3 linked regions of the Macaca fascicularis genome follow. The protein of the gene in region 3 interacts with the protein of the main gene of each other region in a pairwise test. Links are inferred from orthologs where the notes say so. Each region holds a gene or a part of one and is shown on either strand. Other genes may lie near its edges.

Region 1 (4,187 bases), on a different chromosome or scaffold from region 3:
GCGCCCGGCTGAGTTATTTGTATTTGTAAGAAATAACCTAGGCCAGTGCGGTGGCTCATGCCTGTAATCCCAGCACTTCGGGAGGCTGAGGCAGGCGGATGATGAGGTCAGGAGATCGAGACCATCCTGGCTAACACGGTGAAACACCATCTCTACTAAAAATACAAAAAATTAGCCCGATGTGGTGGCACATGCCTATAGTCCCAGCTACTCGGGAGGCTGAGGCAGGAGAATCGCTTGAACCTGGGAGGCGGAGGTTGCAGTGAGCCAAGATCACACCACTGCACTCCAGCCTGGGCAACAGAGTGAGATTCCATCCCCTCCGCCAAAAAAGAAATAACCTATATCAGATCTAGTGCCCCAGAGAATGGAAACTTCAGAGCCTTTGACCAATGTGAATGAAATGAAAGCTGGAAGCTTAAAGTCTTAGCTCTGACTTGAATTTGTGGCTGCTTGAATGTGGGTATTTATTTTGTTTGTTATTGTATCTCAAGGACTTAGCCCAATGGTTGGCCCACAATAAGTGCTTAAAAAAAATCTGTCAAATGAGTGAATGAAAAAAAAAATGTTGTTAACCAATACTCATTTGTCACAGTCACATCACAGGAAAGGTGAGGTCATCAGGGATGAAGTCACTAACAACTGCCAGTTACCTGCCCCAAGGGTAGCCTCACCATGGACTGGCGGGCTTGTTCTGTGTAGAGAAGGGATGGATAGTGAATGCCAAAGTTAGTTCTAGCTGGATAAATTAGCCAAGGGTTTCAGCTGGATAAGTTGGCTGAGGGTGCTACAGGTCCAGCCTTAAGGCTGTCTCAGTGCAACATTTTGGAGTCTGGAGTCATCTGTTCTGAATAGCACCCATACAGCTTTTTTGTTTTTAATTCTTGAGATGGAGTCTCACTCTGTTGCCCAAGCTGGAGTGCAGTGGCACAATCTCAGCTCACTGAAACCTCTGCCTCCCTGGTTTAAGTGATTCTCCTGCTTCAGCCTCCTGAGTAGCTGGGACTACAGGTACGTGCCACCACACCCGGCTAATTTTTTTATTTTTAGTAGATACAGGGTTTTGCCATGTTGGTTAGGCTGGTCCTGAACTCTTGACCTCAGGTAATCCACCTACCTCAGTCTCCCAAAGTGTTGGGATTACAGGCGTGAGCCACCGTGCCTGGCCACACATAGCTTAATTCTTGAGCACAGTACAAATAGGGTGTACTTGTGGATTCAAAGGGAAGCATGTTGGATGAATATTTGCCAAGAAGGAATGGAGCACCTGATTTTGCTGTTGATTTGAACCTGACTCTAAGTGAGGTTGGACTGCCGTAAATCTTGTATTTGTCATTCCTAGGTGGGTCATCTTCAACTATGATAGCTCACCTTCTCTAGACTTGAGTTAGGAGAATAGTTAATGTTGCAGTATTTAGGACTGATTCTGATTTTGGATTTAAAGGAAACAACGGTGGTGTGTGTTTCCTATTTTTAATTTTTAAAAATTTTGTGTAGAGACTGGGGTCTTGTTATGTTGTCCAGGCTGGTCTCAAGTGCCTGGCCTGTTTTCTTTTGAATTTGCAGATGAAGTTATTAGGATTATTAAATCTTTTTATTTATTTATTTTTTTGAGACAGGGTCTCCCTCTGTTGCCCAGCCAATGGCATGATCATAGCTCACTGCAGCCTCAAACTCCTGGGCAATCAAGTGATTCTCCCTTCAGCCTCCCGGGTAGCTGGGACTATAGCTGTGTACCGCCTCACCCTGCTAATTTTAAAATTTTTTTTGTAAAGATGGGCTCTCACTTTGTTGCCCAGGCTGGATCTCAAACTCCTGGCCTCAAGTGAACCTCTTGCCTCGGCTTCTCAAATTCCTAGGATTACAGGGGTGAGCCACTGTGCTCAACTGGATTACTAAATTTTTCTTTTTTTTTTTTTTTTTTGAGATGGGGTGCTTGCTCTGTCACCCAGACTGGAGTGCAGTGGCACGATCTCGGCTCACTGCAACCTCTACCTCCCTGGTTCAAAAAATTCTCGGCCGGGCGCGGTGGCTCACGCCTGTAATCCCAGCACTTTGGGAGGCCGTGGCGGGCGGATCACGAGGTCAGGAGATCGAGACCATCCTGGCTAACACAGTGAAACCCCGTCTCTACTAAAAATACAAAAAATTAGCCGGGCGTGTGGTGGGCGCCTGTAGTCCCAGCTGCTTGGAAGGCTGAGGTGGGAGAATGGTGTGAACCTAGGAGGTGGAGCTTGCAGTAAGCAGAGATTGCGCCACTACACTCCAGCCTGGGCAACAGAGTGAGACTCCGTCTCAAAAAAAAAAAAAGAAAAAATTCTCCTGCCTCAGTCTCCTGAGTAGCTGGGACTACAGGCACATGCCACCACACCCAGCTAATTTTGTATTTTTAGTAGAAATGGGGTTTCACCATGTTGAACTCCTGACCTCAGGTGATCTGCCCACCTCGGCCTCCCAAAGGGATTACGGGCGTGAGCCACCGTGTCCAGCCTGGGTTACTAAATCTTTACAGATGTATCCTGACTCTCTCTGCCTTCTCCCTCTGTACTTGCCCCAACCATTGCAGGCCTGAGTGTTCCTTCCAGCATGTCGGAGGGGGAGTCCCAGACAGTACTCAGCAGTGGCTCAGATCCAAAGGTAGAATCCTCATCTTCAGCTCCTGGCCTGACATCAGTGTCACCTCCTGTGACCTCCACAACCTCAGCTGCTTCCCCAGAGGAAGAAGAAGAAAGTGAAGATGAGTCTGAGATTTTGGAAGAGTCGCCGTGTGGGCGCTGGCAGAAGAGGCGAGAAGAGGTAAGGTGATGGTACAGTCACTCTTGGGGGAGTGAGTTCTGGAAAGGTGAGAACTGGAAGACCGAAGTCTTAAAAGAGGCCGACCAAACTTCAATAGGTTGGGGGCTAGGAGGAGATGATCATATGGAGTGTTAAGATGGAGGATTTGCGAGATAACTTTAATTGTCTTTCATATGAATTTCTTCTCAGGTGAATCAACGGAATGTACCAGGTATTGACAGTGCATACCTGGCCATGGATACAGAGGAAGGTGTAGAGGTTGTGTGGAATGAGGTACAGTTCTCTGAGCGCAAGAACTACAAGCTGCAGGAGGTAGGTAATGCTGAAAAGGTGAAGCCTGGGGAATGTTGGAACACTGATGTTAGAGAGGAATTGGTATTGGGAAGCTGCCCATGAGGAGAGTATGTTGGGGTCAGTTCATTTCTGGGGAGGGACAGGGAATGGCTTCTCAGGATTATTACAGTGATTCATGAACTCTGTTATTCCACTGTCTCCCTTGCTCTCAGGAAAAGGTTCGTGCTGTGTTTGATAATCTGATTCAATTGGAGCATCTTAACATTGTTAAGTTTCACAAATATTGGGCTGACATTAAAGAGAACAAGGCCAGGGTAAGAATTTTTTCCCCATATTTCCTGAACTTACTGCAAAGAGACTAGCTACATTTATTATTGTTCGTTTTACACTCAGAGATTAAAACAAGGTAGTTTTGAAACAGAACTGGAATCAGCTGCAATGGCGATAAGAGTAGGGCTTCAGTTGTCACCTATGCCTTTTATATGGCTATAGATTGGGCAGAAAATGAGTGAACTTTTGCTTCCTTCTTCCCATAACTTTTATTGCTTAGTAGTTTCCATTGCCCTATTTAGTCTAAGTAAGTAAAGCTAAGAACAAAAGGAGAGAAATTTTAACAAACTTTCAAATTTAAAATCTGTTACAAGGGAAGGGATCATTTCTACTATAAGACCTTTTAGTAAATGCTTTGCCTCCCCAGGTCATTTTTATCACAGAATACATGTCATCTGGCAGTCTGAAGCAATTTCTGAAGAAGACCAAAAAGAACCACAAGACCATGAATGAAAAGGTATAGAAGGAGAGCAGACAAAGTTTTAGGCTCGGGGTGGGGCAGGGCGGGGGCCTTAAAAATTACTGTGTTAATAATGAAGCTGATCAGGAAGGGATGGAAGGAGCTAGTGGGAGAGAGTTAAGAGAGGGAATTACTGCTGACCCTTGGATCAAACTTTGTTCCAGGCATGGAAGCGCTGGTGCACACAAATCCTCTCTGCCCTAAGGTAAGTAGTACCTGGTTAGTTTCTTACCCATATTTCCTGATTTAGTTCCTCCAAACAGATTTCAGGGCACTACTCTTCTGTTCTATTCTGCCTCTCCCCACT
Region 2 (3,330 bases), on a different chromosome or scaffold from region 3:
TTGTAGTGAGCTGAGCTGCGTCACTGCACTCCAGCCTGGGCGACAGAGTAAGATTCCATCTTGGGGCAAAAAAAAGTGATTTCACAGAATTTAGTCTGACATCTCAAATAGTTAAAATACAAATGAAGCATTTATTGGCCATTTTCTTGATATCATCTAGCTGGGTAACACCAGTGCTCCATTTATTCCATAAAGATATGAAGAGTCTACAAATTTGTCACTGAGAACCCAGAAACTGCCACTGATCCACAGTATTTGCTCAATATGTAATTTCTGAATGAACACATTCAGACTATCTGCAATTACTTCATACACATAAAGAACTTAAGTGTCTAATAATAAGCATTAATAAACTGAATTTTTACAAAATGAGGTCAGATTTAGATTAGAGATGAGAGAAGACTTTACAAATCTGCCTTAAATTGACTTTGGAAAAACAGGTGAGAACTGGATAGAAAGCATGTACCAGATGAAGGTATTAATGAAAGCACAGGAATAAGCATAGTATTTAAATACCTAAAGAAAAGTAGGCTGATAATAAGGCTAAGAGTATAGTAAAGTACTAAAATCAACATTTGTTCAACTGGAATTGTTGGACTAATTCCAAAGGACATTTATCCTTTCACAATGATGAAGTAATAGCTTTGTCTATTGCTATGAGATCAACAGGATGTGATCAAAGTTTATCCATTAGATTGAAGACACCTCAAGACTCACTCAACTTTGTATCTTTAAGTTCTATAACTTCATAGGAACAAGAATTCAATAGTTATGCTGAATCAATTCTAATTACCATTTAACTATATCAACACCAAACCAGTATCAAAATTTTTAAGACAAATTTAAAACAAACTTAACTTTATTTCCTCACTTTCACTTAAAACTTGATTTTATAAAACACACACACACAAAAACATTTTTAAGAGTTCTGTATCACAGAACATTAAAGAGTACAAATATCCATTGTTTCATAAGTTCAAGTTACATAAATTAAAGTCAAATTTGGAAACTGATTCATTAGGGAAAACTATACATGAAATGAAGGTCAAAAGGAGCTAATACAGCAATATTTCATGTTTATAGATTATTAGTTACTTTCAGGACCTTAGCAAAGATTCTGAATATTTAGACTTCCTTTGCTGTATTTTATACTTAAATATCTCCCTACCTATACTGAGTCAAGCTACTTGACCAAAACATCTGATTTAGGAAAGCATTTAGCTTTATAGCACAAGTTTTTCCATCTACAGTTACTATCTTCAAAGAATATACATCACAACGTTGACAAAAAAAATTCCTGGTTCCTTTTGAACAGTGTGCAATAAATTCATGATGTTAACTCCATGGTAAGTCAAATAGGCACCAAAAAATAAAAGGAACAATTACACACAGTTCAGTAAGTATCATTTTGGTTTTCTCCATGTAAAAATTAACCAATGAAATAAAACATATTAACTGTAGATGATTTGATTTCAGGAAAACCAAATTTCAAAATTACAATTACATTATTTTCCTCACGTCATCCTCAGTCATTGACAGGAATTTTGTAGGCCACCATGCTATTTACTTTGTGGATTGTAGTAGTAAATGAACGAAGGCGGACTTCCTCAGAATTGGTAATAAACTGTGGTCCCGACTCTTCCCATTTTTCAGGTACAACCAAATCTTTGTCTGTATAAATCAGCAGATCAAATGAACCTAAATTGGGGATAAGATCATTAAAGTACATTACTTTCTAAAAGTAAAACTAATCTTGTTGCCTCTCTTCTATTTTGAACAACTCACTGCTGGAAAAGGTCATTTGGCTTGGCCTCTAATCACTAATTTATTTTGCTCAATGAACATTTATCTTAATAAAGAAAATATTGTATCTAATTTCTGTGCAATTTAGTGATTGTGTTCAAGTAACCCTTATCTTATTTAATAATGGTCCCAAGGGTGGGTGCGGTGGCTCACGCCTGTAATCCCAGCACTTTGGGAGCCCAAGGTGGGCGAATCACTAGGTCAGGAGGAGATCGAGACCATCCTGGTTATCATGGTGAAACCCCGTCTCTACTAAAAATACAAAAAATTAGCTGGGCATGGTGGCGGGTGCCTGTAGTCCCAGCTACTGGGGATGCTGAGGCGGGAGAATAGTGTGAACCTGGGAGGCAGAGCTTGCAGTGAGCCGAGATCGCGCTACTGCACTCCAGCCTGGGCGACAGAGTGAGACTCCGTCTCAAAATAAATAAATAAATAAATAAATAAAAATAATGGTCCCAAAGCACAAGAATAGTGATGCCAGCATATTGTTATAATTGTTCCAGTTTATTAACTCTTACGATGCTTAATTTACATATTAAATTGTATCACAGGTATGTATGCATAAGAAAAACATCATACAGGGTTCATACTATCCATGGTTTCAGGTAGTCACTGTGGGTCTCCTTGTGGAAAGGGAGACTATGATACATTAATTTTCCTTTATAATGTTTTTTCTTCAATTTATATTACATAAATCTGACAAGACAAAATTGAATAAAGGGGTGATTAAGGCAGTAGCTTAGTCTTTTTGCCAATCAATTTAATCCAACAAGAAGTTGTATACTTACAGGAAACTTCCAACAGTGGCAGAAATGTCACCGTAGCTGTTATCTGTCTGATCACTGAACGGATTTCATCCTGGATAGCTTTCTGAGACTTTTCTCTGGGTGCACTGTCAAAAAAAAAAAAAAAAAAAAAAATCAACAGTGCACCCAATCAATTAATTCATTTTAGGTTTTAAGTTATTTCAAACATAGTGGTAAGATTATTTATTTGATTAAATGCTCTCAACATCAAATAAGCAGTGCTTTAAAAAGGAGGTTTGTAAAAACTGTGAATGAAAGTATCCTTTGGACCTATAACCTAGTAGGCACAACATACATCCTCATTACTTCATTTATCCTGCCAGGCATCTTTTAGAGCTGGTCTTAGTGTCAGGTCATTTAGTATCAGATGACTAGAAAATCTGCCAATCATTTCAAGTTCAGGAAACTTCAGCATCTCTTGAAATAAAATAACAAATGCTATCTAAAATATTTAATTGGTATAATCATTTTGGCACTTTTAGTAATGCCTAAATGTCTAAATTCCTATTTTCTCAAATAAAACATTAAATTGTGTATCAAATTATTTTATAAGCTAAAAATTTCCTAAAATAAACCAAAGCCTTCAGAAGCAAACTACATTTCACTGTAAGAAATGGTTCCCAGTTTATAGAAAAGCATGCCTAGGACAATGCTAAACATTAGAGTATAAAGACAGACACTTCTCTTCCAGGGAGTCTGGAACTTTCAGAAATTTATCAAG
Region 3 (4,526 bases):
CCCATCCTGCTCACTCAGGCCTGGTCACCTCAGTTGCTCTACCTGTCAGCGCGTTCTGCACCCAGAGCTTGGATGAGAAATGGAAAATTCCCAGCTCCCTGTGCTCCCTTCCTGGCTGCAGGACCTCATCCAAGGGTCACCTTGAATTGAGTGCTGATCCCCCTGCGGGGAAGCGAGTCTGAGCTGACAGCCAGGAGGGAGAGCTTACAAGGGAGCCCAGGGATGTGGCCTGCAGCCCCTTGAGGCCCCTGCTCCGAGCGGGGCCCAGCTGGGGGCTGGAGGGCAGGACTGGGGATCCCACCACAGCACCAGAGTGCAGGGGTACAAGGGTAGGTCTGGAGCCTCAGGGCAAGAGCCTGGGGCCAGAGTGGTGGGAGAGGGAGCCTTGGAGGATGAGGTCGGCACAAGAGCCTGTGCAGGTCCTGGGCGGTGAGAGTGGGGCTTGAGGGAGAGCCAGGTTCTGGGACCAAGAGCCCAGCGTCTTGGAGCCAGCCTGGAGCCTGGCCCTGGGGGCTGTTGAGCCAGGCCTGAGTCGCCCTCTGGTGGCCACTTCCCAGACTGCAGCCAGACCCTGTCACCTGGGACTCCCACCTCTCTTCCAAGCCCTGTTGCTCCTCTTCCCAATGTCCCATCTCCAAGCTCACTTCCCTTCCTCTCCTCTGAGCCCTCGCTTCCTCTGAGACCCCAGACCCAGGTCCCAGGCCCATAGGCGGTTTTTTTTTTTTTTTTTTTTGAGACGGAGTCTGGCTCTGTCGCCCAGGCTGGAGTGCAGTGGCCAGATCTCAGCTCACTGCAAGCTCCGCCTCCCGGGTTCACGCCATTCTCCTGCCTCAGCCTCCTGAGTAGCTGGGACTACAGGCGCCCACCACCTCGCCCGGCTAGTTTTTTGTATTTTTTAGTAGAGACGGGGTTTCACCGTGTTAGCCAGGATGGTCTCGATCTCCTGACCTCGTGATCCGGCGGTATTTTTTTTTTAAGACAGAGTTTTGCTCTTGTTGCCCCGGCTGGAGTGCAGTGGCCTGATCTCGGCTCACTGCAGTCTCCACCTCCCAGGTTCAAGCGATTCTCCTGCCTCAGCCTCCTGAGTAGCTGGGATTACAGGCACCTGCCACCACGCCTGGCTAATTTTTTGTACTTCTAGTAGAGCCAGGGTTTCACCATGTTGGCCAGGCTGGTCTTGAACTTCTGACCTCAGGAGATCCGCCTGCCTCAGCCTCCCAAAGTGCTGGGATTACGGGCATGTGCCACCATGCCTGTCCCTTTTTTTTTTTTTTTTTGAGACAGGATCTCACTCTGTCTTCCAGGCTGGAGTGTAGTAGCACGATCTTAGCTCACTGCAACCTCTACCTCCCGGTTCAAGCAATTCTCCTGCCTCAGCCTCCTGAGTAGCTGGGATTACTGGCACCCTCCACCATGCCTGGCTAATTTTTGTATTTTCAGTAGAGATGGGGTTTCACCGTGTTAGCCAGGCTGGTCTCGAACTCCTGACCTCAAATGATCCACCCACCTCAGCCTCCCAAAGTGCTGGGATTACAGGTGTGAGCCACCGCACCTGGCCTTTAGGCTGTATTCGTCTTCTAGGGCTCTGGGCTCAGTTTCTGTTGCCGTGGTAACCTTTCCCATTTTTGGTCTTCTCTGGAAAGTCAGGGACCCTCTGGCCAGGTCCCGGGGTCACCCATGATGTGAGCCTTGTGGGGTTTTTTGGTAGTAGAGCACTCATGATCTATGGAAGACCACGAGTACGTCAGAACGCCCCCTACCCCAGCCACCTCCACCCTCTTTCCCAAGGCCTTGAGGGACAGAGGGGACAGGATGGGGTCAGAGGTGGGGAGGGGCCTCCGAGGGCCAGGCCCTTCGTCTCCCTTCACACCCTTTACTCCCCTCTCAGACCCAGGCTTCTGCCCCACGCCCCTCCCCTGGCCCAGCCACCAGCTGACTTCCTCGGCCGGCCCCCTCCCCTCCACTCTGGGATTGGTGCCAGGGTGAGAAGGGGACACTGGCACTGACCGTGTCTGGGAATTCCCGCCCACCGAGGAGCCGAGGGGAGGGGGGGTCCCCGTGTCCCCAAGGAGCCAATAGCAGCCAGGCCTTGCCCTTGGGGGGGGTGGTGTATATCTTTCAGGCCAGCACCCCCGAGGCACTGTCTCCTCTCTGCCCGCCTGGCACCAGCCAGACCCCGCTCTGCCCGGGGGGCTCTGAGCCCCCCAGGCATTCCCTTCACTGCATCCTTCTCCGTTGGGGGGGCGTCTAAGGACCCTTTCCCCTTGGGCATGGCCCAGCCAGGGATCTCTGTCAAGTCCCTGGTGTCATCTTATGAGACCCGAGTGGTGGGGATGGCTCCGGGGCCGCCCCGAAAAAGGGGCTGTGCCTCTTCCCCTTGCTCTCCCCGGGGTGCGTCCCCCATACGAGGGACATCTGGGCCCCCGCCCCACCGGGGCCTGGGAGGCCCTGGGCAGCGGCCCTCAGCCCGCAGGGGGATGGACAAAACCCTCCTCTCCCTCATTCTCTACTGTCACAGGTATAGGGGGGTGTGGGCGGGAGGCTGTGGTCCAAGAAACCAGCACCTGGGAAGGCTCCTCCTCTCCTCCCCTCACCTTCCTGTGTCTCTCCAGTGGCTCCGGAAGCCTGGTTGGCATTGACAACAAAATCGAGCAAGCCATGGTAAGAGAAGCCATCTTGGTCCCAGGAGGTCCCGGCCCCCTTAAGCCATCCCTCCGCCCCAGCCCTGTCTTCTTCCTTACCAGGGAACACCAACTCCCAGTTCCTCCATCCCTCTCCCTGCTGGGCTCCTGGGCATCCTCTGCCCCCTCCTACCGCCACCTGCACCCTTGACTTTGCCCGGCCTCTGGTCTGGCTGCTGGTCCCCATCTCTGTCTTTGAGCTCTGACTCTGCCTCTGTCCCTCGTCCTTTTCCCCTGTCCCTTCCCTGCTTTGTCTCTCATCCTCTGGACACGGGACTCTCTCCCATCCCGGCCCTTGAGGCACTGGGCAGGGGATGAGGCACCCACTCCGTTGACACTGTGCCTGTCCCCGGGGCCCCCAGGATTTGGTGAAGTCCCACCTCATGTTTGCGGTCCGGGAGGAGGTGGAGGTACTGAAGGAGCAGATCCGGGAACTGGCAGAGCGGAACGCTGCGCTGGAGCAGGAGAACGGGCTGCTGCGCGCCCTGGCCAGCCCGGAGCAGCTGGCTCAGCTGCCCTCCTCGGGGGTCCCACGGCTTGGGCCCTCCGCGCCCAATGGGCCCTCCGTCTGAGCCTCCCTTCCCTTACAATGTGCCTTTGGGGCTGCCCGGCCTTTTGTCAGCCGCCTGCCCCCTCTTCCTATGCAGCTTTAATGTCCCCATGTCCCCAGGGTGGGAGTTCAAGGCTCAGTAACGGCCTGGTCCCCCGGCCCCTGCCCCATCTCCTCATCATCCCCAGCCTTGATGGAGGAGGGAGGACTTCAGGACGGGGCATCAGAGGGAGCCCCCTCTGGGAGGGAACCAACCTCCACCCTCCCTCATGGGACCCCCAGCAGTCGACGGCCTGGGGGAGTTGGAGGCTCCCTGGCAGACACCCCACCCCCACCTTGTTCCCTTGAGGTGCATCCTCTCCTCTGCCTAGGGGAGGGAGTGTGGACAGTATCTGGAAGTTCTGGGATTCAGGTTGTTATTAAAATAATAATAATTAAAAATTCTGAAGAAACTTGAATTTGGAGGTTGACATCTCGTTCGTTGCTTGTGTTCAGACTCAGGGGTTGCGCCTGCCATTTGGGGCTTCCCTGAGATCTTTTGCAGACTGGGGAGGTTTAAAGCGTGGGAGATGGAGGGGTTGAGACAGAGACTGGAGAAGGGAGCCAGCGGTTCGGGTCCTGGGAAGGGGCAGGCGAGGATTGGGGGTGGGGGGGCGTCTGCCCACGTGCTGGGCGGGGGGACCAGGAAACAATGAGGTCTTTGGTGGCTGCCCAAGATCCACCCCCAGCTTCCCAGTGTGTCCCCTCTGCGGGCTGGATCCGGGTGGCTGCTTGGGGGCGGGGCGGGGGGCCCTGAATGGGCCCCTTGTCTCTGGGCTGGGTGTGGGCCAGACTCCCTGGGCACACGGTGCCCTTGCCAGGCCTGGCCGGCCGCCGTGGCTCCCACCCCCGGCCAGCTGAGGACGGGCCCTGTGGGTGAGATGGCCCCTCCCTGGCAGCCTGGGCTCCAGTCCCAGGCGGAAGAGTCAGCAGTGATGGAGAAGGACCCCATCTAGCGGGGAAGAGGTGAGAGTTGCGGATGTAGCCCCAGGAGGCCCCTAGCCCCAGCAGCCTCCAAGGAGGCTGACCTGCCTTGGAGTCCGTGACTCTCTGCCTCCTTAGGTTTCCCTAGGTTCATAACCTTGGGCAACTTCTTTGGTTTTTCTTTTTTTTTTCTTCGTTTCTTCTTTCTTTTTTTGAGACAGGGTCTTGCTCTGATGCCCGGAATGCAGCGGCACAAACACAGCTCCCTGCAGCCTCCACGTCCCTGGCTCAAGTGATCCTCCTGCCTTGGCCTCCCTGAACTATAGGTGTGT

Evidence for each region. The genes of interacting proteins can lie anywhere in the genome.
Region 1: the proteins of TSC22D4 (region 3) and NRBP1 interact in binary tests that used the Homo sapiens proteins (3 or more experiments, as listed by UniProt). The link is inferred for Macaca fascicularis from reciprocal best matches to the Homo sapiens genes TSC22D4 and NRBP1.
Region 2: the proteins of TSC22D4 (region 3) and MAD2L1 interact in binary tests that used the Homo sapiens proteins (3 or more experiments, as listed by UniProt). The two-hybrid records come from large-scale screens. The link is inferred for Macaca fascicularis from reciprocal best matches to the Homo sapiens genes TSC22D4 and MAD2L1.

The regions. Positions count from the first base shown.
Region 1 is NC_088387.1:94,785,135-94,789,321, reverse strand, and holds part of NRBP1 (nuclear receptor-binding protein), read left to right. Parts: intron 1-2,566; 5' UTR 2,567-2,586; coding exon 2,587-2,796; intron 2,797-2,985; coding exon 2,986-3,108; intron 3,109-3,302; coding exon 3,303-3,404; intron 3,405-3,787; coding exon 3,788-3,877; intron 3,878-4,044; coding exon 4,045-4,085; intron 4,086-4,187. UniProt on the Homo sapiens protein: Required for embryonic development. Plays a role in intestinal epithelial cell fate and proliferation, thereby involved in the architectural development of the intestine potentially via the regulation of Wnt-responsive genes.
Region 2 is NC_088379.1:125,163,627-125,166,956, forward strand, and holds the end of MAD2L1 (mitotic spindle assembly checkpoint protein MAD2A), read right to left. Parts: intron 2,696-3,330; coding exon 2,592-2,695; intron 1,699-2,591; coding exon 1,526-1,698; 3' UTR 842-1,525; downstream 1-841. UniProt on the Homo sapiens protein: Component of the spindle-assembly checkpoint that prevents the onset of anaphase until all chromosomes are properly aligned at the metaphase plate.
Region 3 is NC_088377.1:49,048,389-49,052,914, reverse strand, and holds the end of TSC22D4 (TSC22 domain family protein 4), read left to right. Parts: intron 1-2,518; coding exon of another isoform or gene 2,519-2,612; coding exon 2,613-2,661; intron 2,662-3,043; coding exon 3,044-3,253; 3' UTR 3,254-3,689; downstream 3,690-4,526.